Linked DNA regions of Caenorhabditis elegans. The main gene of each other region encodes a partner of the protein of the gene in region 4 in a complex. Each region holds a gene or a part of one and is shown on either strand. Other genes may lie near its edges.

Evidence for each region.
Region 1: unc-52 (region 4) and pat-2 share a complex: the UniProt entries of both Caenorhabditis elegans proteins name them as parts of the integrin containing attachment complex.
Region 2: unc-52 (region 4) and unc-97 share a complex: the UniProt entries of both Caenorhabditis elegans proteins name them as parts of the integrin containing attachment complex.
Region 3: unc-52 (region 4) and unc-112 share a complex: the UniProt entries of both Caenorhabditis elegans proteins name them as parts of the integrin containing attachment complex.

Annotation. Positions count from the first base shown.
Region 1 is NC_003281.10:8,815,999-8,825,701, forward strand, and holds pat-2 (Integrin alpha pat-2), read left to right. Parts: upstream 1-2,900; 5' UTR 2,901-2,903; coding exon 2,904-3,076; intron 3,077-3,123; coding exon 3,124-3,361; intron 3,362-3,407; coding exon 3,408-3,531; intron 3,532-3,848; coding exon 3,849-4,260; intron 4,261-4,323; coding exon 4,324-4,553; intron 4,554-4,802; coding exon 4,803-5,278; intron 5,279-5,334; coding exon 5,335-5,471; intron 5,472-5,563; exon of another isoform or gene 5,564-5,655; intron 5,656-5,695; coding exon 5,696-5,890; intron 5,891-6,364; coding exon 6,365-7,076; intron 7,077-7,533; coding exon 7,534-8,370; intron 8,371-8,833; coding exon 8,834-8,980; 3' UTR 8,981-9,276; downstream 9,277-9,703. Other genes in the region: F54F2.9 (DnaJ homolog subfamily C member 1), read right to left, coding at 9,357-9,465, 9,609-9,703. UniProt on the Caenorhabditis elegans protein: Required for muscle development probably through the regulation of the actin-myosin cytoskeleton. Component of an integrin containing attachment complex, which is required for muscle maintenance.
Region 2 is NC_003284.9:5,590,115-5,596,117, forward strand, and holds unc-97 (LIM domain-containing protein unc-97), read left to right. Parts: upstream 1-3,018; 5' UTR 3,019-3,047; coding exon 3,048-3,190; intron 3,191-3,246; coding exon 3,247-3,359; intron 3,360-3,409; coding exon 3,410-3,530; intron 3,531-3,577; coding exon 3,578-3,730; intron 3,731-3,781; coding exon 3,782-4,025; intron 4,026-4,069; coding exon 4,070-4,194; intron 4,195-4,252; coding exon 4,253-4,400; 3' UTR 4,401-4,851; downstream 4,852-6,003. Other genes in the region: mec-2 (Band 7 domain-containing protein), read left to right, coding at 1-164; sulp-2 (STAS domain-containing protein), read right to left, coding at 5,822-5,997. UniProt on the Caenorhabditis elegans protein: Component of an integrin containing attachment complex, which is required for muscle development and maintenance. Probably function in adherens junction.
Region 3 is NC_003283.11:14,690,748-14,699,940, reverse strand, and holds unc-112 (Protein unc-112), read left to right. Parts: upstream 1-3,286; 5' UTR 3,287-3,311; coding exon 3,312-3,394; intron 3,395-3,812; coding exon 3,813-3,877; intron 3,878-4,871; coding exon 4,872-5,139; intron 5,140-5,378; coding exon 5,379-6,556; intron 6,557-6,626; coding exon 6,627-7,030; intron 7,031-7,624; coding exon 7,625-7,789; 3' UTR 7,790-8,079; downstream 8,080-9,193. Other genes in the region: set-5 (SET domain-containing protein), read right to left, coding at 405-971; gasr-8 (uncharacterized protein), read right to left, coding at 8,080-8,280, 8,759-8,926. UniProt on the Caenorhabditis elegans protein: Component of an integrin containing attachment complex, which is required for muscle development and maintenance. Probable regulator of cell-extracellular matrix adhesion. Required during initial muscle assembly to form dense bodies and M-lines.
Region 4 is NC_003280.10:14,680,116-14,687,160, reverse strand, and holds the start of unc-52 (Basement membrane-specific heparan sulfate proteoglycan core protein), read left to right. Parts: upstream 1-2,704; 5' UTR 2,705-2,864; coding exon 2,865-3,067; intron 3,068-3,615; coding exon 3,616-3,770; intron 3,771-3,856; coding exon 3,857-4,095; intron 4,096-4,271; coding exon 4,272-4,454; intron 4,455-4,819; coding exon 4,820-4,970; intron 4,971-5,358; coding exon 5,359-5,468; intron 5,469-5,837; coding exon 5,838-6,018; exon of another isoform or gene 6,019-6,077; coding exon of another isoform or gene 6,078-6,186; intron 6,187-6,228; coding exon of another isoform or gene 6,229-6,476; intron 6,477-6,768; coding exon of another isoform or gene 6,769-6,927; intron 6,928-6,976; coding exon of another isoform or gene 6,977-7,045. Other genes in the region: hhat-1 (Protein-cysteine N-palmitoyltransferase HHAT), read right to left, coding at 6,078-6,186, 6,229-6,476, 6,769-6,927, 6,977-7,045. UniProt on the Caenorhabditis elegans protein: Component of an integrin containing attachment complex, which is required for muscle development and maintenance. Probable structural role in myofilament assembly and/or attachment of the myofilament lattice to the cell membrane.

The DNA.
Region 1 (9,703 bases), on a different chromosome or scaffold from region 4:
CCGTCGTCCCGTAGAGCACTTTATCCAGTCTCTCAACTTTCCGTTTTCTCTTCTTTTTATGATTTTTGATATTGATCTCATTGAATTTTTCTACAATTTTGCATATCGAGTTGTGAAATCTCAAAAAGTGGGAACTCATTATTTAAAAAAAAAACACAATAGCTACAGTAACCGTAGCTTCGTAGATTTTTTTCTCAGGGGATTAAAGCTTTTTAAAAAATTATTTAGGAGAATCTTTTTAGAGGACTGTACAATCGAACAGTTCTCAACATAAATCGACAACATAATTTGCTCAGTTCTGAGTGAAGAAATCATACGTAAAACTTGAAGTTTTAAGGTTCTTCGTAGGCCCTTATTTACGTCTATTATTCAAACCCTTCTTGACATTTTTTTCCAATAATAATAGGCTATCCCGCTGTTTTCTGAATTAAAAAGTATCAAGTAATCATCAAATGTTTTTCAAAAATCAAATAAAATATTGTGTAAAAACCAAGCTCTTATCTGATTTCAGACAAAAATTTGGCATTTCTATACTAAATTATAAATCCATCTAAAAAATTCCAACACCCAGCTTCTTCAGTAATTTTCCTGCAAAGAGTATATTGTTCATTTTCGACACTCTGAATATTCTCTGTCTCACCGAATGTCTCACATTCTTCTTTCAACAAAAAAAATTGTTCTCGCTCGAATGCATCATTGAGAATTCACTACCAACGGCGAGACCCCTATTCTTTCTTCAAAAAGTGTGCTCCATGAGCACCTGCACCACCTGCTCTTGGGATTCTTTGATTTATTATTCCTGGATTTGGAAATGAAATTTCTGGAAATTGTTTTATTGACTAAGATCGTATAATTCGCACAATTAAGTACTTTATTATAATAGTAAAATGCTTGGTTTTAACATTGATACCTTTGTGCGTCGCCGATTTGAATTCTATAAATGTTCGACTTTCCTATGATTGCAATTCTTGACAATCAAAAAGAATGATCGGTAATAAATATTTAATTGTTTTAGGTTGTAATGAAACGGTAATGTTCACCATGTATTAGTTGAAAAGCTATTATGAAGATTATTAATCTTTATAGAAGGGATTATGATTTTTTTGTTGCTTAGTTAGTCAACGTTACTTTTCACAAATGACCCATCAATTTAAGATTCTTTTTTCAAAACCTACCTCCTAATTTAACTTCCCTTAAATCTTGTCGACATCTTTTTTTTCCAAAAATTCATTTTCCTCCTAACCACCCAATTAATTCATCCTCCCCCCGTTCCCTCAATTTATCACTTGTTCCTCTCTATTCAAAACATGACCTTTTTGTCGGAGAGGGAACAGTCACCAGTCAACCATATCTTGGATTCTACTGACAATTACTTCATGCCCACATCCCAATACTCTCTATTACATGAACTTTTCACCAATATATAAAATGTTGTTCGTATACTGATGGGCTTCAAGTAGGCGTGATTTTTAAAACACATACTACAAATATTGGAGAAAGTGCCGTATTTGTTCTATTAGTATTGGTGCAATACGTTTTTGACCACAATATTTATGTACTTGAATTAACTAGATTTCACTGTGAAAACTGAAACTTTAAAAACTTTAAAATCTGTGGCAACTTATTGTCGAATTTTGGCAGGAAGTTTCCCTGATATTCCAAGTAGGTTCAAAAATTGAATTCAATTATCAAATTTTGGTCTGGTCAGATTGAACGTCTACTATTATAATAATTTTGCAAGTTTTTCAAAATATTAGAAAATCTCTTTGGTGTTTCAAAAATAGTAACTGCATATCTACTTGATTCCAAACTAATTGCTTCTCGTGTCCCCAAATAAGTGGTGCCTCTTCCTCCGCCCCCTTCCATCCTCCCAATTTCATCCTCAATTCATGCTTCCATCAATGTCTACGTCTCTTCGTCTCTCACACTCTCTCACCATTAGACATATGTTTGATAACTATCCGGAAACTGAAGAAACTATGTGTCCCTTCCTCCCTTCTCTATTTCAAACGACTCTTGACTCATCGTATTTTTCGGAAATTCATGGGATAACTATGAGTCTCCAGATGCCAGTTTTGTTTCGGAATTTCCTTTTTGTACGTTTTTCACAAACTTCGAATTTCTGATTTTTAACTCGTAGTCCAGCCAATATTCTGAATATTTTGAGGGTTCTCCGGTAATTTTAAAGATTTTCGAATGAGTACAACTCAAAAGCTAGAGGTTCCAGCAAACAACTTTCAACAGTCAAAACATTTTGAAATAGTTCAATTGAGCATTTGAGAAAATATTGTTGTTGGCTCTCGCTCAATACACAACAAATATTGAGATTTATGCAAAATTCGAATTGCTCCTTACTTTGCTTCTTCATCAATCTTGCTCCACGTGTCACGGGTCATTTTGTTCCCCCGTTAATTTCCGTTCGCTCACTTCTCCTGTTCGTTCAATTCATTTCTTGATATGTTCATGACTCAATGTGAGTGTGTCAAATGCTCGTAGAGCTCCCTTCTCAATTATAAATGACTTGTCGTCTTCGGAGGGTCAGTTCTTTGTTTCGCAATCGCGTGTGCTCTGTTCAATTCCATTTTTCCTTCCTTCCGGTTTTTGGAAAAGACACCGATTAGGCTTCATTGATCCACATGTTAACTGAGAATTTGAAATTATCTCAGTGAAATTGGTCGCTACTTTGAATTTAATTCATTTAGACATGAAAAACGTTCCAAAATTAAAATTCAAGCAAAGTTCTTTATTTTCCCTTTCAAAAATATTTCTTGGAACTTTTGAATTTGAGATTTTGAAATTTTTTTTCTATTCAATCAACTTCTAAAATCGTTTCATCTTCCGTATACTCGTTGCAAACTTCTTTCTGATTGTTTTCAAAAAACCGAATTCCAAATTTCCAGTAGATGCGAGAGGGTAGTTTTCCGCGAAGGATCGGCTTGCTTCTAGGCTTACTGGGCCTTTTAGCCGGAGTTGCCACCTTCAACATCGACACAAAAAATGTAGTGGTTCATCACATGGCTGGTAACTACTTTGGATACTCACTCGATTTTTACCATGAGCAGAAGGGAATGCCTGTGTAAGTTATTGAATTAACTGAACAGATTTTACATTCAAAAATTTCAGCCTCGTTGTCGGTGCCCCTGAAGCTGAAAGCAATAACCCAAACCTGGCTGGAATCCGAAGACCTGGAGCAGTTTATGCTTGCTCCGTGAACCGGGCAACATGCCGAGAAGTCCACGTGGATAAAATGAAGGGAAACTTGAAGAAACTCAATGGATCACATCTTGTTCCAATTGAAGAAAAATCACATCAATTCTTTGGTGCAACTGTTCGATCAAATGATAAGCATGATAAAATTGTGGTAGGTTTATTCTGCGGAGTTTGAAAATTAAAAATTAAATTTCCAGGTGTGTGCTCCAAAATACACATATTTCTACTCAAAATTCGAAGTTATTGAGCCAGTTGGAACCTGTTTCTATGCTGAAAATGGATTTGATAATGCGGAGGAGTTTTCATCGTGCAAACAAGAACGTATGTTTTGGGGATACTTAATTGGTACTGCAGGGGTACTGTAGTTTTGGAAAAAGGAGTTCGAGAAAAGAAAGTTCTGGGAAGTTCTAGAAACTTCTGAAAATTTTGAGGAATTGCAGGAATATTTTAATAGTTTGAAAAGTTTCTGCAACCCTCAAGACACTGTTAAAAACGTCTTAAAATTTTGAGATTTTTTTGGAAAATTCTAGAAACTTCTAGAGGCTCCTGAAAAAAATCTGAAAATTGTTGAACCTTTTGGAATAGTTCAGAGTTCGAACAATTGGTAACTTTATAAAAAATTAGATGAAAAATTACAGCTGCTCGCCACGGTCGTCATCGTCTTGGATACGGTCAGTGCGGATTCTCGGCTGCAGTTCCAGGAAAGAAGAATCAAAATCGTGTTTTTATTGGAGCCCCCGGTGTGTGGTATTGGCAAGGAGCAATGTTCTCACAGAACATCAAAAATCAGACAGACCGCCCGAATACCGAGTACGGTAGCAAGGAATACGATCACGATATGATGGGATATTCTACAGCAACTGGAGATTTTGATGGAGATGGTATTGATGATATTGTTGCCGGAGTTCCACGTGGAAACGATTTGCACGGAAAATTGGTGTTATACACGTCGAAACTGAAGATGATGATCAATTTGACTGATGAGGTGTCAACTCAACATGGACAATATTGTGGAGGATCTGTTGCAGTTGCTGATGTAAATAAAGATGGGTAAGTGAGATTCACAAACACATAAAATTACAATTCTCTAAATATTCTCTGTATTAATTTCAGACGCGACGACATTATCATGGGCTGCCCATTCTACACAGATTACGGTAGCGTGAAAGACGCAAAAACACAAGAAAGAAAACCACAATACGATGTCGGAAAGGTCATTGTGATGCTTCAAACTGCTCCAGGAGTCTTTGGAAAACAGATTGCAGTTGTTGGAGATGATCAGTGGGGACGATTTGGACACGCAGTCGCAGCAGCTGGAGACTTGAATTTGGATGGTTATAATGGTAGGGATTTTGCTACTAAAAATGAACGAATTTGAATTTCTCACAGAAATTATTTTACGCGGAAATTCAAATTTAGTTTTCGTATTTTCACTTTTCTTTTTCTTAATTTAACAATTTCTTTAGACATAAAAAATCCTAGATTATCGGAAATTTGTGCGGCATTTTGAACTTTCAATCTCATTTGAACCGCTATGGAAATTTATTGCATTTTTTGTTGGAAATTTTAAATTACAAAATAGTGTTTTTCAGATGTAATTGTTGGTGCACCATATGCTGGAAAAAACAAACAAGGAGCTGTTTATGTGATCCACGGATCCAAAGATGGTGTTCGCGAACTACCAACTCAGAAGATCGAAGGAGCCAATATTGGTCATGGAAATATCAAATCATTTGGCTTCTCCCTTACTGGAAACGAAGATGTTGATGGAAATGGAATGCCAGACATTGCAGTTGGAGCATGGAAATCTGGAAATGCAGCTGTTTTACTCACAAAACCAGTTGTCACTGTCACGGGACAAACTGAACCAGAGAGTGCATTGATCAGTGTAGAAGATAAGAATTGCGATGTTGATGGAAAATTGGGAAAACAGGCATGCAAACATATTAATACATGTTTCAAATATGAAGGAAAAGGAGATACACCAAATGATTTGGAATTTGATCTTCGATTCAATCTTGATGATCATTCTCCTGAACCAAGAGCTTATTTCTTGCAAAAAGATGTGGTAGGTCACTTTTTTAAAACTAGATAAAAATTTTTAACACAATAATAATATTTCAGAAATCTGACAGAAGCATTAAAGTTGCACAAGGATCTAAAACAAGAGACCATCCATCTTCAATCGAACAACGTGTTCGTCTTGAGAAGGGACGACAAAAGTGTTTCAGACATCGATTCTTTGCTTCTTCCACAATGAAGTGAGTTTTCAGAGAAAATATTTTGATTTTCTTTCAAAGTTTTTCAACTCAAAATGACCACAACTTTTTAAATTTTTTTATCAGAAAAAATTGAGAAAATGTTTGCTCTGCTGTGAAAAAAAGTTCAAGGCTAATTTTTGAATGTAAAATAGTTCGTATGCTTTGCAAACCTTCAAATTAGAAAATAAAATGTTTTCTAAAAATCAAAAATAAAATAATTTCAGAGACAAGCTCTCCCCAATTCATTGGTCCGTCAACTACACATATGTTGAATCAAAAACCGGAAAACTTCGTGGTGATAAGCTTGAACCAGCAATTGACACAACTGTACCACTTTCATTCCAAAATAAGATTAATATTGCAAATAATTGTGGAAAAGATGATCTTTGTGTTCCTGATTTGAAGGTTACCGCTGTTGCGTAAGTTTTTTTAATTTTCAAAATGATCGATAAAAAGTGTTGAAAAAATACATTAAATATGCCATTTTTTCATTGAATATAAAAGAAAGGGAAACATTGAAAATCCTCATTACAGTAAGTTTGAAAAATTATTGAAAAAATGGGTTTGTCTCGAAATGTTTTAATCATTACTCTAATTTTAAAATTTTCAAAAAAATATAAGGAAATGAGCGAGAAAAATTGAATATAACACAAAATACAATGTAACCTAACTCGACAATTTTCAAAACATTTTTTATAATGAGACAAGTTCACAGCCATTTTTAAAATGTTTGCTTCAGGATTTTCCTGTCAAAATAATTCCACGAAGATTGTATGTTTCTTTTCTTCACGGAATCGGCGAAATTTTCAGTGAAATCATATCATTAAAATAATTATTCCTAAACCTATAAACCAAATGCCAGCAATTAAATTCTTTTAAACATATTTTTTCAGTGATCGTGAGAAATTCCTTTTGGGAACTCAAGACAATACAATGCTTATCAATGTAACAGTTCAAAATGGAGGAGAAGATTCATATGAGACAAAACTTTATTTCGATGTTCCACAAGGATTCGAATACGGTGGAATTGAAAGTGTTGGTGGAGATGGAAGCAAGTCTGCTCCAGCTTGTTCTCCAACTTCCGATGAACCAGATTCGGATGGAAAATGGACTTTTGCATGTGATCTCGGCAATCCACTTCCAGCTAACAAAGTAGTTAGTAGTGTTGTAAGAGTGACTGCTTCTTCTGATAAACCTCCACTTGCTCCAATCAGTATTAATGCTCATGTGAACAGTAGTAATGATGAAGAAGCTCATACTGTTGCTGATAATAAAGTCACATTCACTATTCCAGTTGATTTTAAGAATCAATTGAGTTTGAATGGTAGATCAAATCCCGAACAAGTCGATTTCTCAATGACGAACAAAACACGTGTAGATGCTTTCGATGACAATGAAATTGGTCCAGTTGTTTCACATCTTTATCAAATCAGTAATCGTGGTCCATCTGAGGTTGACTCAGCTACTTTGGATATCTTCTGGCCATCATTTTCCACTGAAGGAGGTCATCTTCTGTACATTATCACAGAACCAGTTGTTAATCCACCAAATAAAGGAAGATGTCGGGTCAAACAACTGCAAAATGTTAATCCATTGAATTTGAGGGTACGTTTGAATAATTTTTAAATTTCTAGACATTACTTTAAAGGTACACGCTGTTTTTCTGAGTGGGTCTTGCCACGATCTCATAGTCGTTGCAAATCCCCAATTTCTGTAGACACTGAATTTTATAACTCTGTACATTTAAAATTGCAGTGAAATACGGAAGGAACTATTTTGTTTTAGAAATAGAAGTAAGAAACTTTATCATTTTTAGGATAAAATTCAAATTTCTTGGGAAATTTTGAAGAATTGTTTTCGTCAGTTTCTGAAATGTTTAGAATCGGCGAGTTAAAAAAAAATATTGGAAACAATCGAATATGCTGAAATATCACAAAAAAAATTGATTTTCCGGTTCGGGCTGACAAACTTCACTTTTTTCAATTCAGAATCCTGAACATCTTATTTTATAAATGTTCACAAAAAATTACTGTCGCACATTAAAAACGAATTAAAATTTCAGATAACAAATGAGCATGTTCCAACTGAACCACCAGTTGCCAAGACACCAAATGAATATTCAAGAGAAGAAGATGATGAATCATATGAAGATGAAACAACAACTCAATCCCAATCAACACGTCATCAATCTACACAACATCAAACTCATCATCAATCTGGTCCAGTACATGTATACGAAAAAGACGAGGAGAAGATTCGTCAGAATACTGGAAATTGGCAATATGTTGAGGATAAAAAGAAGAAGGGAGATTATGAATATATTCCAGACGATCAGGAATATGATGGAGATGATTTTGAAGAGGAAGATGATGAAGATTTTGATAGAGCTGGAAGTAAGAGAGTTAAAAGAAATCCAACACCAAAGAAGAAGAAGAAGGGAGGAGAACACCGTGGTGAACCAAGAAGTGATAAGGCTAGATTCTCTGATCTTCGTGAAGCTGTTAAACTTTCGAAGGAAGCTGGAGGAGTTGTTGATTATAAGGGACCACTATCAAGAGCATCTGTTGATTGTAATTCATTGAGATGTACACATATTGAATGTGATATTTATGATCTTAAAGAAGACGAGTTTGTACTTGTGGAAATCTTCTCTAGATTATACACAAACACATTGGTTGATGAGAAAAATCCTGGAGGAGACATTTCATCGTTGGCTCTTGCTCGTGTCACATCTACTAAATACAATCTTCCACATAAGCCAACATTGATAACAGCAGTATCTACAAATATGAATGCAATTGCTTCTGAAGAAGGAAGAGATCTTCCTTGGTGGCTTTATCTTTTGGCTATTCTTATTGGACTTGCCATTTTGATTCTTCTTATTTTACTGCTCTGGAGGGTGAGTTTCAAATTTAATTTTCAAAAATACGATTTATTACATAACAACATAGATATTGGCTTGCAAGTTAAATTAAAGTTCTTTCGCCAACTTTCATGCTTACTTGTGACGCAGCAAAAATTATATCTTAATTTCCAATTTTGTGAAGCGGTTTCTCAAAGCCTCATTGATTTATTCGGATGGGCCTCGCCGCGAGAAAAGTTTATGGTTCAAACTCTGCCATTTTCGAAAGGTAAAAAATGATTGTCACAAAGATTAAGAAAAACTGAATTTAAAAGAAGTTGCCTACGACATTAAAGCTGTGCTCACACGCTTTCGAAAATTTCACAGCAACGTCCACGGCGAGCTTACGTCGGGGGTACTGTAGAATATAGGTAGATCAGAGCGACTACAGTATACAACCAATTTCGAAACAAATTTACAGTTTCCCTCAGAAAATAAATAATAATAATCTAATTTTCAGTGTGGTTTCTTCAAACGTAATCGTCCACCAACTGAGCATGCAGAACTCCGTGCCGACCGTCAACCAAATGCTCAATACGCTGATAGTCAATCCCGTTATACATCACAAGATCAGTACAATCAGGGACGTCACGGACAAATGCTATAATATTTTCCATTTTTTGTTCCTTATTCTTTACTATTCACATCTGCGGGTGTCTTTTTAAAATTATCATTTTGGTCCCAATTTAGTCCTCTTGTCGTGCCTTGCCCCCCAATCTTACTTTCATGTTCGATCGTTTTTCGGAATCTCCGCTCAATTTGGTGCTTTATATGTTCATATTATGTTTCTTTGTTTTCCAATTAATTACCAATACATTGACATGTTTCTAGTCGATATTTTTGATGTTTTTTCTTTTATTATCATCAATTTATTAATAAAAATTTAATAAATAAATAAATATTTAAAACGCGTCTAAAACAATAAATTTTGGAATTTCATCAAACCCGACCAACAAAAAAACGGAATAAATATTATGACAAAACTAGGTATCATTGGTTTTCTTTTTTCGAATCATCTCAGCCAATTGCTTGAATCTGACCATCACTTGTTTCTTCGTTTTGCTTCCAATTTCTTCGGAGATTCTTTCCCACCTGAAATTTAATATTTAAAACATTCCTCTGGATATTATATTATGGGGACCCAGAAATTTTACCGTCAATACCTAACGAAACCCAACGCTTGGAGGATGAGCGTTCTCAATTTCAAAATACCCATTTCTAGTTTCCAAGCTAACCTTTCATCAGTTCCCTTTGGATATTTCTGCAATGCGGTTTCAAAAGCCTTCTGCTCAGCTTGACTCCAATCATCTTCTGATTTCTCTTCAACTGG
Region 2 (6,003 bases), on a different chromosome or scaffold from region 4:
TACGGAAGGCGCCAATAGCACGAGAAGAAGATCCAGCAGATCCGAAGCATGGAAAAGTGATGGGAAGTCAAGAAAGCATGAACTCTACAGATTCGAGGGAGTCCGTCGTTTCGGCGGCTTCAATTAAAGCGGAAGCATTGGCTCGCCGAAATTTCAACTACTAGTTATACTTGCATCTTCTTCTCCGCTTTCCGCTTCTTTCTGCACATCACAGTGAGTTTGAGCACATTTTTTTCAAAAAAAGGAACTTATTTGGAAAATTTCTCCAGTCAGTTTAAAATACTAAATTTAGTTTCAAAAATAAGTTCCTATTGTTATTACGTTATTCAATTCAATTACGTTTCCAATTGTAAATTTTTCAGCACTTCTGATCCGATAGGCAAGCCGATCAAGGAACGGTATAACTTTAACGAAATGGACCGTAATCTTTCCGCACTGGTCAAACCACTTTGGGCAGGAAATGAAAAAGAAGATCGTGCTGAAAAAGACGATAGTACATCATCTTGATCTGCTCCGGCTCCCCTCCCTGTCTGTGTGATTCTTTTTGTTTCTTTCAATTTTATCCTATTATTCCAATTCAACGCTGATGCATTACTATTGTTGTCATATTTCATTTCTGTCATTTTTTAATCAAATGTGCTGAACATTAAAAATTATCTGATCTCTTGAATCCCTTGTCTTGTTTTATGAATAAAAGTAATATATCAAAAAAAAAAGTCGAATGGAACTGCTGAAAGTGCTCCTTTTAGTGCGCATGATATTTTTCACACATATTTTTTTTGAAACGGTTTTGATCCGTGTCCAGTATCCATATTTGATTTTTTTAAAAGAAATTTTAAAAAGTTTGTGTAGACAATTCAATGTTTAGTTTTCCCTTTCAAGCTAGTTTTCACTAACAGGAAGATGCTATAAAACTATGAAACGAAAAACTTCAAGAAAAGGAAATTGAAAAATTGTGATCTACACAAATATTTTTCTAACATTTTCAAATGTGGATGATGAACACCAGACATTCGTGGCAACTGTAGACCAACTATTTTATAAAATGAGCCAGTTTGGCATGTGCTCACAAACTTTTTTATGGAAATTCAGAATATGGAAAACTACTTACTTTCTCTGAAAATAAGATTTTTTTAGTTGGGAAAATAGGACATTTTTGAAAGATTTTTCATTTGATGTTTTAACTTTCGGATTAATTGTGAGCACTTTTTAAATTGTTCCAACTGAAATTAAAAATATTTTTAGACAAGCTAAAGATTTTTCGATATCACTGAGTTTCAATTAAAAAATTTTGAGAACATGCCACACTGGTTCATTTTGTAGAAACTCACTTTGAAACTTATAGATTTGTGTAATAAAATACTCAGTTTAGAATTTATACACTGCTCCGAAAAAAGTCGGTCCAAAAACCTCTGTTATCGGTTTACGATCTTCTAGAAAAAGCGGTGGTATTTCTCAACACTGCGCACAGCTGTTTGGCAGGTGGAGGCATTTCTACTGGCAGAGGACCTCATTCTATAATGTCATCATTTCAAAGTTAGTCATTGTTTTCAAGCTACAATTTCTGGATTTTTGTCATCCTGATATATGATACTAGCTCATGATCAAGGCCAGTCGTAAGAATATAAAAACACAAACGAAGGTCAGATACTGAACATTTATCTGCCAACATTTGCGGGGTTCGTACTTTTCAACCATGTCTTTTGATTTCTCATATCTAAACTGATGATCCTTTCTTATTCTCACAACTGTCTATAAACATGTGTTAGAAAAAGCTTGTTCCTGCCTGTTCCGAGTATCAACGAGCAGCAATACTTGGCTATTAATGTGACCCTACGCACGCAACCCGATTGTATGCGTCTCTTCGAATCGCGCACTCTTCCCGGAGTCGTTACGTCTGCGGCCGTAGTCTGTGACCCCCCGCTTGGCTGTCGGCCAACCCGCCGCGCGCGCATTGCCTCTCGCTTTCTTCCACTCTTTTTAGTTGTACATTCTGCGCACTTTCTTTTTGCCCAGTAAATGCCCATATCACTGTGTGAGGAAAGTTGATTTTCAACAACTATTATCATTTTTAAGGTGTTGTTTATAACTATTACTATGTTTAAATATAATTCAAAACTTTATAGTTTAGCCGTATAGAAGTTGTATTGAATTTTTGGTTTCATTTTTACAACTAGTTTTATTTTTAAATGCAAACACCACAAAAGAAGCATTGTTGCTTTCCTCCGTTGCATCTCAAAACATCTGGTGTAATACATGTATCACATTTTGAAGCGTGAAATGTGCCGCTTCACTGAATTTTGTTATGTAGAGTAGTACATAGAAAGTCAAAAAAAAATCGAAATAACTAGTTCGAATTTTTTCCCATTTAAACACACGATATCCCAACCGATGTTTCTGAAGAATCTTTTTTCTGTTCCCAATCAATACTGATCATCAACACATCGGATACACGTCTCCCTCTGTGAGTTAGTCAGGGAAGCTGAGGCATCCTGTTGAATCTGTTGTGCAGCAGCACTCACACACATACTTTTGTTGTTCACTTATATCTCTATCTCTTGGTTCGTTTTCATTCTTTACACAAAATGCAATGGCAAAAGCTTCCACGCCACCGCCTCCGAGTTCTTCTTACACATATGTCAACCCGTCGCATCCTATACCTTTGGCACATTTGCCTCTTCCTTGAGGATTTCTTCTTTTCTACTGTTTCACAGCCCCCTCGTATAATACCTCCAGTGTTTTTACGATTCTTAGAATATGGAAATTTCTGTGTTTATGCAAAAATTTACTTTGCATATAACAAAATGTAGATATGAAATTCTGACTTTTTGTGCTCTTTTCGATTAACCAACATACCTAACCTATACACACTATATGCTTTCTCCGGCTTTCCCTTGTTTGTACATATTTGTCTTCATATTACTCGCTCGCTTTCTTTTCTTCTTTCCTACCCCCACCTTTTTCCTTACAAACCCATGGTCGTTAAACCATCCTGTGTGCATAGTGGCCAACTTTCAGTGGTTCAATAATAGATGGTGTGTGGCGGAATGGATTCCGACCACAACCATATCAACGGGGATCTCGCCCATGGCTTCGAGAACATGGTGTGCGTCCGTTGTAATGATGGTTTTTCGATGCAAGATCAGATGGTGAACTCTTCCGGGCAAGTATGGCATTCGGAGTGTTTTGTGTAAGTTTTTATAAGTTAGAATTAAGAGAACTCAAAAATTGCAAAAAAATTTTTAGATGTGCTCAATGCTTTGAGCCATTCCCAGACGGCATCTACTTTGAGTATGAAGGACGAAAGTACTGCGAGCATGACTTCCATGTTCTGTTCTCACCATGTTGTGGAAAATGCAGTAAGTATCTTTGAGAAGACACGCAGAGCCATAAATGTTTTATATTCTAGACGAGTTCATCGTTGGACGAGTGATTAAAGCAATGAATGCCAGCTGGCATCCGGGATGTTTCTGTTGTGAGATTTGCAATAAACAGTTGGCCGATGTCGGATTTTTACGGAACGCTGGACGGTAAGTTGGAGAGCGTAAACGAAGCTCGAAAGAATTTCAATTTTCAGAGCTCTCTGTCGCGAATGTAACGAACGGGAAAAGGCAGCAGGTCATGGACGATATGTGTGCCACAAATGCCACGCAATGATTGATGATGGACAACACATCAAATTCCGTGGAGATTCATTCCATCCTTATCACTTTAAGTGCAAACGTTGCAAGTAAGAATTTATCTTGTTTTACAGTATGAGTTGAATTTAAAAAATTTTCAGCAATGAATTAACGACAGCTTCTCGTGAAGTAAACGGAGAGCTCTACTGTCTCAGATGCCACGATACCATGGGTATCCCAATTTGTGGAGCATGTCACAGGCCGATTGAAGAGCGTGTCATCGCGGCACTCGGCAAGCACTGGCACGTGGAGCACTTTGTCTGTTCCGTCTGTGAGAAGCCATTCTTGGGACATCGTCACTACGAGAGAAAGGGACTTCCATATTGCGAACAGCACTTCCACAAGGTACTTGAAATATGAACAAGCAAACATTAATAAGTTTGTTGCAGTTATTCGGAAATCTTTGTTTCAAATGCGGAGATCCATGTTGCGGGGAAGTATTCCAAGCTCTTCAGAAAACGTGGTGTGTCAAATGTTTCTCCTGCAGTTTTTGTGATAAGAAACTTGATCAGAAGTGAGTGCAAAACTATTCATATGAACTTGATGAAAACAAATTAATGTATGCATTGCAGAACGAAATTCTATGAATTCGATATGAAACCAACATGCAAACGATGTTACGATCGGTTCCCCACAGAATTGAAAAAGCGCATCTCAGAAAGCTTAAAGGACCGCGACGTTGAAAATCAAAGAAGATCGATGAGTCCTGGACCAAAATAATAAAAAAGAAAGAAATAAAGGAGTCCCCGTAATTCATCAATTTCCATTAAAGAAGTAATACTTTCCAAATGCCATTGCTCATTTCTCTTTCCCATTGTTTTTAATACCTTGGTGCTAAAAAAAAACATCGTGAAAATTGTTATCAATCCGTTTTGTCTTTTAAATGCCTTATATTTCAAAACTATTTTTCGGTCACACAAAAATGTCATTGTACTCATTTCTAGCTCCATAATTGTCCTTCCCCTTCCCTTTCCCAGCTACTTTTTGATTCAGAAGCCTTCTGAAAACAATCATAACTTTCGACCAAATTTTTTGTGTTCCTATCCGCAAAAACTTTGCATCTTTTCTCGGGTGTCATTATTGCATAACTTGATTTCTGAATTTTTGTACTATTTTTTTGTTCAGAAAAAAAATATTGACTGTATTGAAACAAAATCGTATTGTAATATTGAATCCTTTTTTTCGGCATCAACAATCAATTTGTAATCAGTGATCAACAGGAAGGTGAGTCCATAGCGCCCGGAGAGATATTTTTGGTTCAACTTGAAACGTGTTAAGTGAGAATTATACTTTCCAGTGTCAAAATGTTTGTGAAATTTCTAAAAATACGAATGAGCCAGTAGAAATGATCGTATTGCACTTGAAATTCTCTTGGGAATTTATTTGTTGAAGCTTCAAAATGTGAAAGAAAAATTGGGCTATTCCAACAAAAAACGACTTTCATCGTTTTTTTGCTCAGCAAACTCTGTTTGATCATTTTACATAAAGATGAAATAGAGTCGATGATTTTTTTTTAAATTCAAAATGACAAAAAAAATTCAGTTTCCAAGAAGTTAATTTCGTTAAAAAATAAATTTTCAATTATCGATTATTTGAAGAATTTCCAACAAAATTCTTCTTTTTTATCAATTTTTTTTTTGGTTTTTTTTTGTGGAAAAGTCTAAAATTTTGTAAGATTCTGTTATTACTCAAAAATCACAAAAAAGGACAAAAAACTGACACAACTGTAAAAAACAAACATATCAAAATTAGGTAATTTAGTTACGCGGGTATGGGAAAATAATTCAATACTTTCTATTTTTTTTTGTTGCAAAATTTAACAATTAATTAAAAAATTCAGAAAAATTCAATGATTTTTTAAACTGTTGTGCTTATTATAGTGCAACTTTTTTCCAGTCATTGAGACCAAAGAATCCATAGATGTTATTCCATCTTTTTCCAAATTTTATTTATTGACAAATATCTAATTAGTTTAAAAATCTAAAATCAAACCTCAATTTACGGTAACTTTATTGAAAACTTGAAGCATGAGCAAGTTTAACAAAAATTTCAAATATTGACCCAATAATTACACATATTATGACCCATATGATTAACAAGTTGATCAATTGATAAAACTGATAAATAATGATCTATGTATTCTAAGGCACAATCTTTTCTGGCGGCATACTTTTCTCGCAATCAAAAAACATTTTATGATTTTTAATTAATTCGTGAGCAGAATCCAGCGCATCTTGAATGGAGGGATACATTTGATTTCTTCCAATATTCCCTTCTCCAATCAGGCCAGCATTTCCATATTGTCGTCGGAGTGATGCTGAAA
Region 3 (9,193 bases), on a different chromosome or scaffold from region 4:
TATTTTGATTTGATCTTCATAAAATGCGGGAGAAGAGACGCAGACTTCTCATCTTATTTCGCCTGGTTAAGAGCGTGCTGACGTCACAATTTTTTTGGAAAACTATTCCCGCACTTTTTGTAGATCAGAATTAAATAAGACAGCCTAACACCACGTGTGAAAGCTGTTACAAATGCAAAGTGTTGTGAAAATTTCGCCGCAAAAGCGGCTTATGCATGCAACAAGGTACCATATTCAAAATGTCTAGAAGACCGTTCTGCTTTTCCAATTGAGCTTTTCAGACATTTTTAATCGAAAATTTTCGTTTTTCTGTGAAATACCAACACTTGGCGTTTTTCGTGGGGATTTCGGAGTAAAACCCAATTGTTCTGCAATTTTCTTAAATTCGGCACATTTCAACATACAGAGAGTTCCGGCGGTTTCCAATAACCATCATTCTGAATATACTTTCTCTTCCATTCCCGTCGACAATTCTCAGAATCCTCCAAGTGCACAGTACATTTTAATGAACAATTCAAAGGAAAGAAATCGTCATTAAAATCGATAGTAATCTCATGTCCATATGGAATGAAGTCTCTTGCTTTGATAATTATATGGAATTCTGTATTGTTTCTTTCATAACTAAGATAACTATTCGGAAAGCAGCTTCTTCGGACAAATCTTCCAGGATTATTTCCAGTCCCTCGAGCATCCAAACAGACACATCCGTATGTGAATAGAAAGTTCACATTTCGAGAATCTTCTTGAAGTTCATGATGAAATGCCAATAATCCTCGAATCCTCACAATTGGCTCGTCCGGCTCGATGTCTAGATTTGAGACGAGAGCTCTGTTGATTAAATAGGATTTCGAAATTTCGATACTGCGACACTTTTTTCCGAAACTTCGAACTTCTGTGATGGGGAATAGTGTCGGAAGCAGCTCCTCGACGTTTTTCGAAATGATTGTTGATGATTTGTTTTTCGGGTTCATTATAATGCGATCTGAATAAATTTCAAATTAATTTTGGCAATGAAAATATGGATTAAAATAGAAATAAGCCTGCAAGCATAGAGGAAACCAGATTTTCGGTTTTTTTTTTCAGAAAAATGACAAAAATTAAGCGCAGGAATGAAAATAGATGAAAAAAAACCGTTTCTTCGAACATTTGTAGAATTTGTGTTGGTTTTTTTTAAAAGGATAATGCGAAATTTTGGAGTTATATGCACTTCACTGAAAAACGGATAGTTCTAATGGGAAGGAAAATTCTTATTCGTGAAGTTATTGGGCCCATTTTCTTCAATTTGCTCGATGATTTAAGAGGCACTGAAGAAAATGCGAGGAAATTATTTTTTTTAATTGTCTGACTCTACGGATTTTTTTTTAATATCCACTATTTTTTCGGGATTTTTTTTTTGATAATTCTCTGTTTTGAACAAGATTTTATAACACAGAAACATAGGAAAATGCCGAACTTTAGCTCTGAAAACTATTAAAAGTTATTTTTATCATGAAGTACAATTTTTCACGGAGAAACCCGACACAAATAAAAGTTTTACGTGATGTTCAACGTTTAATATAAATTTTCAAACAAATAAATCGAATATTGGCCAAAAAAACTAAAGAAAACAGAGTAAAAAGTTCAAAAATAAGATTGCAATTGTTGAAAAACAATGAAAACAATTGCTCGTAAAGTTATGGCGAAGTACGCAAAAGCCTCTGCGTACTTCGCAATCTACCGTAGTCATCAATTAATTTTTTTGTCAGTCGCGCGCGACAACATGTCGTGCCGTGCCGAGAAATACTGCATAGGATATAAAAACAAAGAAACGTTAAGTGATAGCTGAAAATATCAGTTTGATTTAAATGGCTACAAGGTTATTCCTTGACACAAAAAATATCCCGTAGGGAAAACTACAGTAATTCTTTAACATCTTTAAATTTCGATTTAAATTTCGGAAACATTGATTTATCGATTGAATATTGAAATTAAGCCGAAAATTAAAAACTAATACGAGGAAACGAAGAAAAATGAATATCGATGTCACTATTCGAAAAGAAAATCATTTCAAAAATCCGTAAATCGACTAAAGCGCTACAGTAGTCATTTTAAGTATTAATATAGTTCTCGCTACGAGATATTTTGCGCACTATGCATTCTCAGAGTTTTGTGTTCCCGTATACACAGTGCTCAAATTCTTCGTCCAAAAAATTTCTGAGCTTATTTCAAGTTTGATCCAACTCTTGTTAATGTCTTATATAACTTTAAAACGATTCAAAAAACGATTAGGTCAAAAAGTTTGATTTTTAACGCCGCCAAAAAAATTTGCATACGCTTTATAAGCAACTTTTGTACCAAGTTTATATTTCTTTTGAGCCAGACTTGGACAAGAAGTTAGCATTTTGTGTCAGCGCATATTGAAATTTCACTACCATTTCTAATATACTGTAAAGGATAGTTACTTTTGTGGAAAATCTGAACTTTTATCAATTGCACCATAAAAGACGAGGTTACCAAGTGTTCACAGTATGAACTTCACACGTGGTGTTAGAGTGTCCCATTGATCTACGTAGTTCACATTGTTCACAAATGTTCACATTATCCAGATATTCTAATTCAGAAACTAGTATACACCTTTCTCCATTTCATTGCACTTCTCCATTCATACCCAACTACCCGTGATATCCTATACTTTTACTCTCTCTCTCTCATGTCCAATGTCCCTTCAGAAGCTGCTTCCTGGCATCTTCCTCCTCCTTCTTCTGCCAAATCTTTCTGCCAGCCGGGGGACGGGACTCTTTGTGTAATGTTGTCTTCTTCTTTTCCTTCATCTACAGCAGCATCGCCTACTGTCATTCCTTCCCATTCCCGCGTAGCCGCCTGCCGAGTGTCCTTCAACTCTCCGTCTCTTCTACAACTGTTCACTCTCTCTCGCTCTCTCATTGCATTTTGGAACATACAGATAGGGAGTCAGAGAGATAGAGAGTGAGAAAAGAAGCGGAGAGACGGTGTTGCTGTGAGTCAGAGACGAAGAGTGTGTACTGCTCCGGCCGTCCGTTTGTTCGTCCGCATCGGCAGTCTTTTCTCTCATTCTCTCATTCTTCAATGTTCTCTAGCCTCTTTTTTCGTTTATTTTATTCTGTATACACGTTCCTCTCTACCTGATATTCTCCCACACATAGCTTTTTTATTGATTTGTTGATTGTTGTTAAGCGGTTTTTTTTGTTTTCTATTCTATCTACCGTGGACGGAGAAAATACACTGTTTCTATAATTTGCTAATCTTTCCAACAACTAAAATATCTCAGTGGTTCTACCTAAATCACTTCAAACATGGCACATCTTGTTGAAGGAACCTCGATTATTGATGGAAAATGGCAATTGCCAATTTTGGTCACCGATTTGAATATTCAAAGGTGAGGATTTAAAATTATATATTTAGAAAATATTAACTTTCAATAGTACTGCATGTTTAGCAGTTGTTCTTAAATAACTGCAATTGCAGGAAGTTATAGAAAAAGATTCAATGCACATTTTCTGAATTCAAGTCATTTTGTCAGAATAAGTGATAATTGAGTTATTCTCGGATTGAGGTTAAGCCTAAACCAATCCTAGGCCCAAGCCTAAGTCTAAGTCTACGACTAACTATAAGAATAAGCCTAAGTCTACGCCGAAGCCTAGCCTAAGTTTAAGCTTAAGCTTAAGTTTAAGCCTTACCCTAAACCCTAGCCTAAATTTTCAGAAGATTCCGGTTAAATTTTTTTCCAAACATGAATGAGACATTTTCAAACTCAGAGTCTTCCAATTTCCAATAAATGTATTTATTTCTTCCAGAAGCATCTCTGTCCTTGGAAATCTTAATGTGGGAGGACTCATGCTCGAACTTGTTAGCGAATGCGGTGAGTTTTTTTTTCGAATCTTATCACCTCGGTCAAGATCTCAAAGATCTCAATAGACCATGATTTCTCTCTTTTCTACTCAATATAATCTGTTAGATATATCTGCCACTGTGTGCGCCTACGCGTTTGTTACAACGAAAAGATACGTGGTGTGTGCACCATTACGAAATGATGTTCAATATCAGTAAAAATTGAAGGCATGGGAAAATGTTGAAATCTGCTGGAAAAAAATGTTCTGGAAAGATAGGGAACACTTTTGGAAACACATCGTAACGGAGCCCTTGAAGAGTGCGCCAAGTGAAAAATTTCTCGTACAATTCTTTCAAGTTTGCTGAAAATTCGTATTTTGAATAAAACAGTTTAATTAAAAAGTTAATTTTTGAGAGATCTTCACGAAATTTTTTAGGGACTGTGAGCTCCGAAATAGTTGACAAGAAGTCCTCTATACATTTTGAAACATCATAGAAACTATGCGGAACCTATCAAATATTTATGGGCTCTTCTCATCTCCTACCAGTTGCTCTTCTCTTTCTTCTTTTTCTTTTCATCCTAACCCCTGTTAATGTTGACTATTCGAGTGCACGCGTGCGCATCTACATAAGCTGATTGTTTCGGATGGGACATTCGCTGTTGGGTACATAAAGTTTAGAGGCTTTCCTTGCAGAGATATAAGAGCACACAATGATAGGGGGTCCCAGGAGAGAGTATCAAAACTTGAGAAGCAACTGGCATTCATCATGACCAAGAGCAGAAAGGGCGCATAGGAGAGGCGCATAAAAACGTTTTGGAATTAAGTTTTCGCGCGATTTTTAGAACTTGCAGAAGCTGAAGGGATGAAGATTTTCTGCATTAGGGTATAACAATTTGTGTGCTCAATGTGTTTAATTTCCAAGTTCAAAATGTAATCATTTGGGCTTCAGCTGAACAAACAATTTACAAAACAGCTGTATTGAAACAAGAATCTAAAAAACTCCAAATATTTCTATTTTTCCAGATGTTGAACGAGATTGGTCTGATCATGCTCTGTGGTGGCCGGAGAAGCGGCGATGGCTTCAACATACTCGATCGACTCTTGACCAGAATGGAATTACAGCTGAAACACAATTGGAGTTCACACCAATGCATAAAGAAGCAAGAATTCAGTTACCAGATATGCAAATGATTGATGCGAGAGTTGATTTCTCGGTAAATTCATTCAAAGCAACAAAGAAATTGTGCCGTGATTTGGGTATTCGATATTCAGAGGAATTGTCTTTGAAGAGGTAAGTAGGAATTGGGAAGTTTTTGATGTTTTATTTTTAATTTAAATAAGAATGGAGTTGTGAAATTCCTTAGTTGGTTGAACGAGGATTGAAGATCCTTGGGAATCTTAAGCAACTAGGGAAAATCTATGCCTGATCGAAATCCTGCCCCAAAAGTTTGAGCAAGGTCAAAAGTTAACTACTACCGAGCATGTGAAATAACCCAATAATTCAAAATCATATAATTTAAAATATTACAGATATATTCCACCAGAGGATCTTCGACGTGGAACATCTGACGCCGACAACATGAACGGTCCACTCTCAATGCGTCCAGGAGAAGAATCAGTTGGACCAATGACTCTCCGTAAAGCTGCTCCAATCTTTGCTTCTCAATCGAATCTTGATATGCGCCGTCGTGGTCAATCACCCGCGCTCTCCCAATCTGGACACATTTTCAATGCTCACGAAATGGGAACTCTTCCTCGCCACGGAACATTGCCACGTGGTGTCAGTCCATCGCCAGGAGCATATAACGATACGATGAGAAGAACACCAATTATGCCAAGCATCAGTTTTAGTGAAGGACTTGAAAATGAGCAATTTGATGATGCTCTTATTCATTCACCAAGACTTGCTCCAAGCCGTGATACTCCAGTATTTAGACCTCAGAACTATGTGGAAAAAGCTGCGATTAATAGAGGATGGCTTGATTCTAGCAGATCACTTATGGAACAAGGAATTTTTGAAGGAGATATTATTTTACTACGATTCAAATTTATGAATTTCTTTGATTTGAATCCAAAATATGATCCAGTGAGAATTAATCAACTTTACGAGCAAGCAAAATGGAGCATTTTACTTGATGAATTCGATCACACAGAGGAAGAAGCCACACTATTTGCTGCTCTTCAACTTCAAGCAACCCTGCAAAGAGATTCTCCTGAACCTGAAGAAAATAATAAAGATGATGTGGATATTCTTTTGGACGAGCTTGAGCAAAACCTTGACGCAGCTGCTCTTAACAGACGATCAGATCTTACACAAGTTCCCGAGTTAGCAGATTATTTGAAATATATGAAACCAAAGAAATTGGCAGCATTCAAAGGATTTAAACGGGCATTCTTCTCGTTCCGTGACTTATATTTATCATATCATCAAAGCTCCTCAGATGTCAACTCAGCTCCACTTGGACACTTCTCATTGAAGGGATGTGAAGTTAGTCAGGATGTTTCAGTTGGACAGCAGAAGTATCATATCAAATTGTTACTTCCAACTGCTGAAGGAATGATTGACTTCATTTTGAAATGCGATTCCGAGCATCAATATGCCAGGTGGATGGCTGCGTGTCGGTTAGCATCCAGAGGGAAGTCAATGGCTGATTCGTCATATCAACAGGAGGTGGAGAGCATCAAAAACTTGCTCAAGATGCAAAGTGGTAAGTTGTTGATTTTACAATTTAATAAGTGATAATGAAATTATTTTCTTCGAATGAAACAATTTTTCAGGTAATGGAAACGAAAACGGAAACAGCAACACAGCTTCGCGAAAAGCCGCCGCTGTAAAACTACCAAATGATTTCAATGTTGATGAGTACATATCGTCGAAATACGTACGACGAGCACGCAGCAAGCAACAAATTCAACAGCGAGTATCAGATGCTCATGGAAATGTTCGACAACTCACGGCAACCGAAGCGAAACTTCAATATATCCGAGCATGGCAAGCACTTCCCGAACACGGAATTCATTATTTCATTGTAAGATTCCGAAATGCTAGAAAGGCGGAATTGGTGGCTGTTGCTGTGAATAGACTTGCAAAATTGAATATGGATAATGGAGAAAGTCTGAAGACATGGAGGTTTGCAAATATGAAGAAGTGGCATGTCAACTGGGAAATTCGACATCTCAAGGTTAGTTTTTGATGAATAAAATATTTAAGATCTGGACATGATCGGAAATCGAAAAATTGCAAAATGTTGAGAACGTTTTCGAGACCTATTCATCTAAGTTTCTTGTAACAACTTTCTGATTGTTAATCTATTTTGTGATGTCTTGAAATTACGTTTTCATCTCAAAATCTTTCCTAATATGTATATCTAAACACAAAGAACAATTGGCTTTCAAAAAATCTTTGTATTGTTTCAAAAATTATAATATTGCGTTTTTGATTCAATTGTTGTTTTCTATCCATAAGTCTATTCGCCGTAACTTACTAAAAAATTCAGGTCTTTGGTAATTTAAAATCTAAATCAGATAATGTTCTCAAAGACCGAAACTTTTTCGGTAAACTTGGTGCTGACAGGAAGGTAGGCAGACTTCATGCCTATTTGCCTACATGCCAGCGTTGCACCTTGAGCGTTTTAGAAATAAATTTTTAAAATCTGTTTTGTGCCTACATAAAAGGCTTAGATAAACCCGAAAATAACCGAGAACAAACTTTTTGAAATTAATTACTTTTTTTCTTTGAGTATACTATTTTATCATCCTATCTCCCCAATTTCCAGATTCAATTCGAAGATGAGGATATCGAATTCAAGCCACTTTCCGCTGATTGCAAAGTCGTTCACGAGTTCATCGGTGGATACATTTTCCTGTCAATGCGAAGCAAAGAACATTCTCAAAATCTTGATGAAGAACTTTTCCACAAACTTACAGGAGGATGGGCTTAGATATTTAAATTTCTATAATCTTTTGCAAACCAAAGAATTTTAATTTTAGGCTCCAATTCCATCTTTTTCGTTTCAAAATTTCAATATATATATTTGTTTTCTTTCATTTTTCTTGTTTCTCATTTCCCCCCTTCCCCTCTTCCAAATAATTTTTCGTTTTAATAAGACAAGTATACCGGATCGAAAAAAAGTTTTATGTGCCTTTTCATATCTATGGATTAATAATAATTGTATGAGAAAAATTGAAAAATATTATAAAAATTGAATAATAAAAACTGATGAATAAACATTTAAAATCTTCTTCCGCGTTCCTCGAGCTTTTCGAATTTTTGTTGATTGCTGATTTCTAGTCTTCCAACGTTTCGTTCAACTTCAATCAGCAACTGATCTCGCTCTTTTTCCAGTTTTTCAAATTCTCCCATCACAATATCATTGAGTTCCTTGTATTTTTCAACTTCTTTCCTCATATTCTCAACGTTTCGCATATCTCGCTGGAATAATAATCAGGAAATTATAGTCATTTTCCATCTTTTCTGGTAGTAGGCAAACGTAGGTACAAGGCAGGCAGGCACTGTTCTGCTATCTAGCTACCTACCTAACTACCTAGGAATCCTTAATCTGTTCTATTCAACCATATAAAATCAATAGTACAAAACATATCGGCAATATAAATTTGATAGAAAAAAAGCAAATAAGTTTGTATCCCGTTATTTAAAAATTTGTTTTCAAACGGATTGAAATCATGTGAAAACATGTTCAAGAAGTATCAAGAAATTTGAAACAAAATTTTCAAGCAACAGCAAAAAATATCTGAATGTAGTCTTCGCCCATAAATTTGTTTTTTCACGATTTAGAATCGAATTGTTTCTTATTTTTCAAACTAGTTTTGTACGTTTTTTTTAAAGTTAAACAATTTGTCAGAGCAAATCAAGCAACTTTCACGAATGATACGTACATCCCTTTTCTTACCTGAAAATTCCTCTTGTAATCCTGAAGCCTCGCGATTTCTTTGCTCATCTCATCAATGTTTGCTTGATTTTGGCCGAGTAGGACGGCTTGATCCTTGAGTTTCTCGCGACTATCAATGAGATCCGCTGATATTGAATCACGTAGATCACGGAGATTTGAAACTTCGCTCTGGAATGGTGAAGATGGTTTTTATGAAGAATTAATACTTTAATAAAAATTAGTTGAAAAAATTGATCTTATGATTCAAATATCGTTATAAACAGGGGGTTTTTATTTTGCTTTAAAAATATCCAAAATAGACTCAAATTCAGAAATACGACAGAATAAATACGATGAAAATAGAGGAAAATTTCAAATATTAATTTTTAGTGTGATTTGACAATTTTGGTTTTTAATTCCCTCCAAAACGAGAAGCCACGCCCGCTTTCGAACCAA
Region 4 (7,045 bases):
ATTAGAGCCCCCTCTCACACCTCGTCTCGCCGAAATTGAAATGTTACAATCCACGGAAACTTTGAATGCCTAACCACATTATCCTCTGAATATTTCACTTTTCAATGCGTGCGAACCAAAATGCGAATATCTATACTTTTTGAACTTTTATTTATTATCTTTTTTTGTTGCGATCCAATCAACGCGGCGCCAGTCTCGCTATCAAGTCTATGGACACTTGGTAAGCAAACTTTTTGTTTTGAGAACTTTTGCACCTAGGGAAACTTTTTTTTCAAAAATTGAAAAGAGGGGATACAACTGTCCTTTTTTATTTGCACAGTCCGTCTTTTTTCCGCTAAAAGTGCTTATTATCTGTCCACTTTTTTGGAGGAAGAATTGAGGGGATTTTTGATGACGACGAAATTGTTTGTGTAGAAATGAGGGAAAAAGGTTGGCAAAAATCATGTAAAACTGAAAGATTGCTGAAAGTGTAGTCAGTAATACAATAAGGCAAACATATTCTGACAGTTTTGCACCTTAATTTGCGATTTCGTGGGTTATTGTACCTTAAAATTGTCGACAAATTCGGCAAATTGCTGGTTTGCCGATTTGCCAGCAATTTTCATTTTGGAAAACTTGCCGATTTGCCATTTGCCGGAGTGTTTAGAGAGATTTTTTATAAGACGGAACAACTTAAAACTGCCTTTTTGGAAATTTGTTTTCGTTTTCTTTAGATATTTACATAAATAGAATTTACTGAATTTCGAGACAAAATGTGCAAAGCCAAAATTTGCCGAAAATTTTATTTTTCAAAAAATTCACTTTTTTTTCGTTTTCCTGAACTTTGCCGATTTGCGGGGAACTTTAATTTTCGGCAATTTTCCGTTTCGCCGTTTTCCGAGAAAAAAAATTATTTGCGGCCCACCCCTGGTGTGTAATGTATGCATGCGACAATTTCCTAACGCGCTAACAATTGCCTTTACATTAGTTTACAACTCTTCCCGGTTATAGATCTCATTCATCCTGTTGCGTTTGTTGGGTGGCCCCCTCCTCATTGGGATATGTTTGCCTGCTTTTTTAGTTTAAGTGTGTCTGTATTTTTTTCAAAATGCTTTGTGTTATGGTTTTGTTTGGGCTTAAAAACTTTTTTTTTCGAAAATTGCTAAATTATTTTTGCCATTTTTAAAAAAATTTTATTCACTTTCATATATTTACTCACTGTACTCAAAAAATCATATTTTTTCTCTTGAAAATTTTGTGTTTGTTCCAATTGTTTTTTCCTCTAATTAACTCCCAATTTTTTTCACCAGCTTTCCCCAAAAGATTTGCACTTTTAGATGCAAGAAGTATAGGGATAGTGCGAAAATCAGCAAACAATTCTCCCAGCTCTCCACCAATTTTCCACTCTTTTTCCTCGCCGCTTTTCACCTTTTAACCTACTACCCCCATTCCAAGCAGCTACCGTTCCTCCCTTAAATCGGCTTGAAGACTGTCCAATTGTTGTGTCAATATTTGTGGGGGTACTTTTATATAATCGGAAGGTTTCGACAGTTTTCGCCACCTTCTTTGGTGAGGTGGCGATATCAGTGATTATAAAAGGTATGGGAAAATGAAATATATATAGTCAAAGCTATAACCTCTGGGAGATGATTCTTCCTCTATTTATAAACACTTGAGGATGTGAAAATCGGACGGAAAAGACGAGCCACCAATATGAGGTTTGATGATCGGGGAACTCTCGTCGAGTGATGAGATGACGACGACCTGTGTATGTCGGAAAAGATTTGGGGATATTTTGTTTGGACAGGATATATGATGGTTTGGGCGGGTATTGCAACAAAAACTCTTTTTGCCAAATGAAATCAAAAGTGCACGCGGGCCGGAGCAACTTGAAAAAGGCGAAGCTTTGTACATGGTTTTCACCGCCTTCCTAGAAAAATCCTAGAATTCAGAAATTTGCAATATAGAGTTGTTTTGAATTGAAATTCATGAATTGATCACGAAGTGGCTAGGTTTATTGTATGTACAAAAGTCTTTCGATAAGACTATGGTAGCACACTCAAATGCACTTGACGTGAAACGCCAGGTACTGTGGATTCACTCTGTATCAAGAGAGTGGCCGACAAATTTTATTTTTGGCAGTTGCCAAAATTGAAAATTTTAGGAAAATTGTGGTTTTGCAACTATGTATTCATGCAACATCAACATATTTTATATGTTCTGTTGAATTTTTGTACTTTTCTGGAAATTATGTAGTTTTACATAAAATGAGGACTGCTAGATTTGAAGCTTAAACACACTGGAATTGCTTTAGAAAGTATACATGAGAACTGTATGATTTGGTTACTGTCAGCTAATGGCCAGAAACGCATTAGAATTGGAAATATTTTCTCAAACACCAATGCTACCAAATTTTCTAGCTCTTTTCAAACTTGCACCCCCAATAGCGGCAACCGCGTCTAATATAATAACAATAAGCAAGAAACATGCGAATCTATATTATATATTATGAGACGGTTATATACCATGATACTCCGTCCAACGTGGTGCATGACAAGCTATTCAAGTATGTGAGTGTGTGAGTGAGTGTGAGTGTGTGTGATGTGTTTATGCTAGTTGCGAGACGCGCAGGCGCAACAAGAGAGGCGGCTCTAAAATGCAAATATTTACCTGAGTCAGGAAAGAAATTCAGTTAGAGAAGAAGGAGGGTGGAAGCTTCTCCTAAAAAAGTGGGCGGGGCCTAAGAAGTTGCAACTGTGCCGCTGTGCCTCGCCGCCGCCGACGGTCAGCGCGCGCCTCTGTCTAGCAACCTTCTATCTCCTTACTTTCTTTTTTTAAAACTGACCTACTGCTCATTTATACCCCCCGTCAACTAGTTAGGGGGGATGGCGTTTTCGCTGTTCTCCGTCGTTTCACTGACGGTCATCTACCGGTTGACCATCAACTTTCCCGAACTACCGTACACTCAGGAGTTGAAGAACGTTGAGAGCGATGAGTTCGTGAGCACATCTAGAGATATAGCTCATTCTATTCAAGAGTTGGTCAAGGATCTAGAAGGAAGGCATACAGCTAAGGTTGCCGATTATAAGTGAGTTTTGAGTGAAAAAGGTTATCGACAATTTTGGGCGTTTTTCACTTTTCAAGAAATTCTAAAATTGCTCCCCTAATTTCCACATATTTACTTTTTTGCGGAATCTTAAAATTACAAAATGTCCATCAGTCCGTAATCCAAACCCGTAACTGTTGCCCGTGGGCCATAACCCAGAGTCCGTAATCCGCAAGTTCGGAGACCCGGGTTCCAAAATTGGGAGTCCGGAGTGCAGAGCCCGGAGTCCATCGTCCGGAGAACGGAACCCGAAGCCCGAGGTCCGAAGTCCGAGGTCCGGAGTCCGCGGTCATTCAAAATTCAACAATACTAATTTAGAAGGCATACTTCTGCAGCTTAATTTTAAAAAGTATATATTAAAGTTTTCAAATAATTCTTCCAAATTCCAATGTCATGTTTTCTGATAATTCTTAACAAAAAAAAAACGGTCGCTTCCTCCCACGAGAGAAAGTCAACAATAGAGTATTTTGTGTAAATACATGCGTATGTATGTACATGTGTGTGTACCTATATGTTGTTGTAACTTCCAGATATCACAAAATCATTGGATCTCTTGTCTACGTGGATTTGTACGCTGAAAAAGAGTCACCACTGGTGTCTGATGTGTTGTTGTCCGCGATAAAGTCTGGAAAAATTGGGAACCTTACGGTTTCCGATGAGGGTTTTGAGCTTCATGTTGTAAGAGGTGTGTTGTTGTGTGTTGTTGTGTGTTGTTTTATATGTTAAAATTATTCAGTCGCCTGAAAAATCTTACTTTACCAAAAATTGCAGACTCGTCAATAGCCTGCGCCACCACAGAATTCACATGCCTTGACAAGTCATGCATCCCGGCGGATCAACGTTGTGATGGAAGACGCAACTGTCCAGATGGATCAGATGAGCACAAGGAGCATGGAAAATGCAAGCAGCATCAACCAATCATCCATCAAACTGAGAAAGTTGTCTTCGCTCAGAAACATGGATCCATCCATCTCTCGGCTTCAATTGATAGTTCGGTAGAGGATAATAAGGTTCGTATACACTTTATTTGATTATAAAAAAGTGTCTACATGATTGGAGGCTATGCTTAATTTTCTAATTCCAAGCTATGTTGATAATTAAAAAAAAAGTTTCTTAATTGACTTTTGAATTGAGGTAATGCTCCGAAAAATCTTTTAATATTGTGTAAAACTATTGATTATTCCAGATTGCTTGGTCCAAAGACAGCGTTCTTCTTGGAGTTGGCTCGATGACCTTGGCAGAAGACGGGCGTGTGACGGTTTACAAAAAAGGAGACAAACATCATCTTCATATCATCAACGCCACCGACGCAGATGATGGAACTTATAAAATGATTGTGCAAGGAATAAATGTGGAGGCTGATTTTGAGGTAAGCGTTGGAAAGTGATTCAGGAAATTTGAGAAAAATATTAAGAAAGGGGTTTCCATATATGCTATCATTGATGGTTTGAAACTTCCTTTAAAATTTTAAATTTCCAAAAATATTGGCAAAACTGTAACTGAGAGGTTCAACGACTATTATATTTGCACATGAATTTTTTGGTCCATTTTTTAAAAAATTTTTCTTCTCCGATTTGCATATTTTGATACATTGTGTTTCAACTTAAAGGACTTCAAACAAGTGAAAATATGTTTGAAAATTTCTAAAATCAAAATTTTTCATTATTCCGAAACCGATCAGAACCAATTTCCATTTACAGTATTTTTAGCTATTCATAAAATGTTCAATTTCAGGTCCGCATCACCTCCGACCGTGTCGCCACCGAATCCGACGAATGCCCAAGCGGGGAGCGTGCCTGTAAATCTGGACATTGCCTTCCAGTCGCCCAATTCTGTGATCGCCGAGTTCAATGCCCAGATGGTGATGACGAGGAACATTGCTCTGGTAGGGGGCCTCTTAGTCATAAAATACATTGAACATTTCGTTATAATAGGTGCTAGATACTACCTCGCTCCTTAGAATGTAATAATTGATGTTTTTCATTGTGAGAAAAATACTAGTACCAAAAAATGGAAGATAGATCAATGACTCATTTCCAATAATTTTTAGTTGAAAAGCAGCCAGTAGACCCGGTTATTCCAACAAGGTGAGAGGGGACGAAAAGAGCACACACACACATGTGTGTGTGTGTGCTCGGAGAAACAATAGTTAAACATTTGACCAGCACACTTGTTTTGTTTTTCGCACACTTGTAGGAGAAAATGCTCAAGGAAAAATTGAAAAATTGTGCTCCGTGCTTGAGAAAATCTTTCGTCGACTTGACTTATTACAGAAGTGCAATGCAAATCGAATGAGTTCCGATGCGAGTCCACAAATGTTTGTGTGCCAACTGTCGTCGTCTGTGACGGATGGAAAGATTGCCATGATGGTTCTGATGAAAAGGTAAGGGGTTGGGGAATTTTAAATTCAACAAAGTTGTACTGTGAAACTACAGTAGGGAAATCGTAGGGATACATTGGACCCACAAAAAGACCGCATTTTTGCAATACAGTAGTATTCCAGAGCCTGTATGGATACTCTATAAGATATTACTGTAGATGCACTAAATAATTCAGGAATGGGCGGCAATTGCTGTTCGGCAAATCTGGCAAATCGGCAAATTGCCGGATTGCCGATTTGCCAGAAAAATCGTTTGCCGCACACTCCTGATAAAAGGTGCCTTTATTGCATTTTTTTAGACAATTGGGATTACTCCAGGAGTTTTCAAAGGCAATCTTTAATTTCAAGTTCCTTTAAATTTCAATTTTCCAGAAATGCTCCCATCCACGCAAGACCTACAAACCTCATCATGTCCACCACGTAAAGGTCAACGCAGTTTGCCAAGATGGCTCGGAGCCCGAGTTCAGTCTTCACGGCTCGAGTTATTGCTGGTCCAACAAGGTGTGCCCAGCCATGACCGAATGTGTGGCTGGACTGTGTTGCTCCATTTCTAGTTAGTTTATTCTTTATTTACAAATATATTGAACCAGAATTTATTTGGCAAATCAAATATTAATTACTCTTCTCCTTTTTGCTCTTTTCCAGGCTCTTAAGCCTATCAACTTCCATAGCGGTATTTGCATGGAACCATCCCAAGCTGATAATTAATAAGAATGGCCACCTGAAATTCATTTTAGTATTCATTAAACTAATGGTTTCTCACCTAAACGTAATAGTCTCTTCTATCAAAAATCTTTGCACAAATGCCGCTCCAACATCTGAACCTCCAAGGAAGTAAAAGTTGGAGTACAGGCCGATGGCAAATGGCAGAATGTGGCACCACGCCAAGATTCTACGGAACGCCACGTCAGATAGATTAGCCTCCCGCCACTTTCGAACACTTTCAATTGTGTAGATCGCCTTGGATCCCATCTCGATGAACAAGGCCAAGATGTTCAATCCTATCCAGACCTAGAAAAGATGGAATAGAGTTGTGATAATTACTCGCGTAATTAGATGGATAGATCTTGACATTTTCAAGTGATCTTGATCTAAATATAACGCTCTAATTAGTTTACGTCTATGGAATATTTACTGGAGGTGTCAGAAAGTATTCTAGTTTATCTCATGAATATTACTTTCAATGCAACAAAAAACTAAAGACCTGCCTACTTCTTGCCTACGTGTCTGACTAGCTCAATTTACCTCAATTTCGGTGTCACACCATCGTTCTGCTTCTTAAGAAAATTTAACTTTAACTCACAATGTTGTGATGATAGAATCCGTGCCAAAGAAGCACAAAACCGTACGAGATAAAAACTCCGAAAATTTTTCGTGGCAACGAAAATGTTGGAGCACAGATCGGGATGAAAATGTAGGTCTTGAAAAATTGATAAAGACCGCGGTCAAACTCTCTCCACACCTAAAATATTTGAATCCGTTAAAAGCTTCGATCTCCGAATTTTGCTCACCTTTGAGTACAAAGTTACCCGAATCAAACAAATCGGGCCCGGAAGTGGATCCATATTATCAAGCTTGGC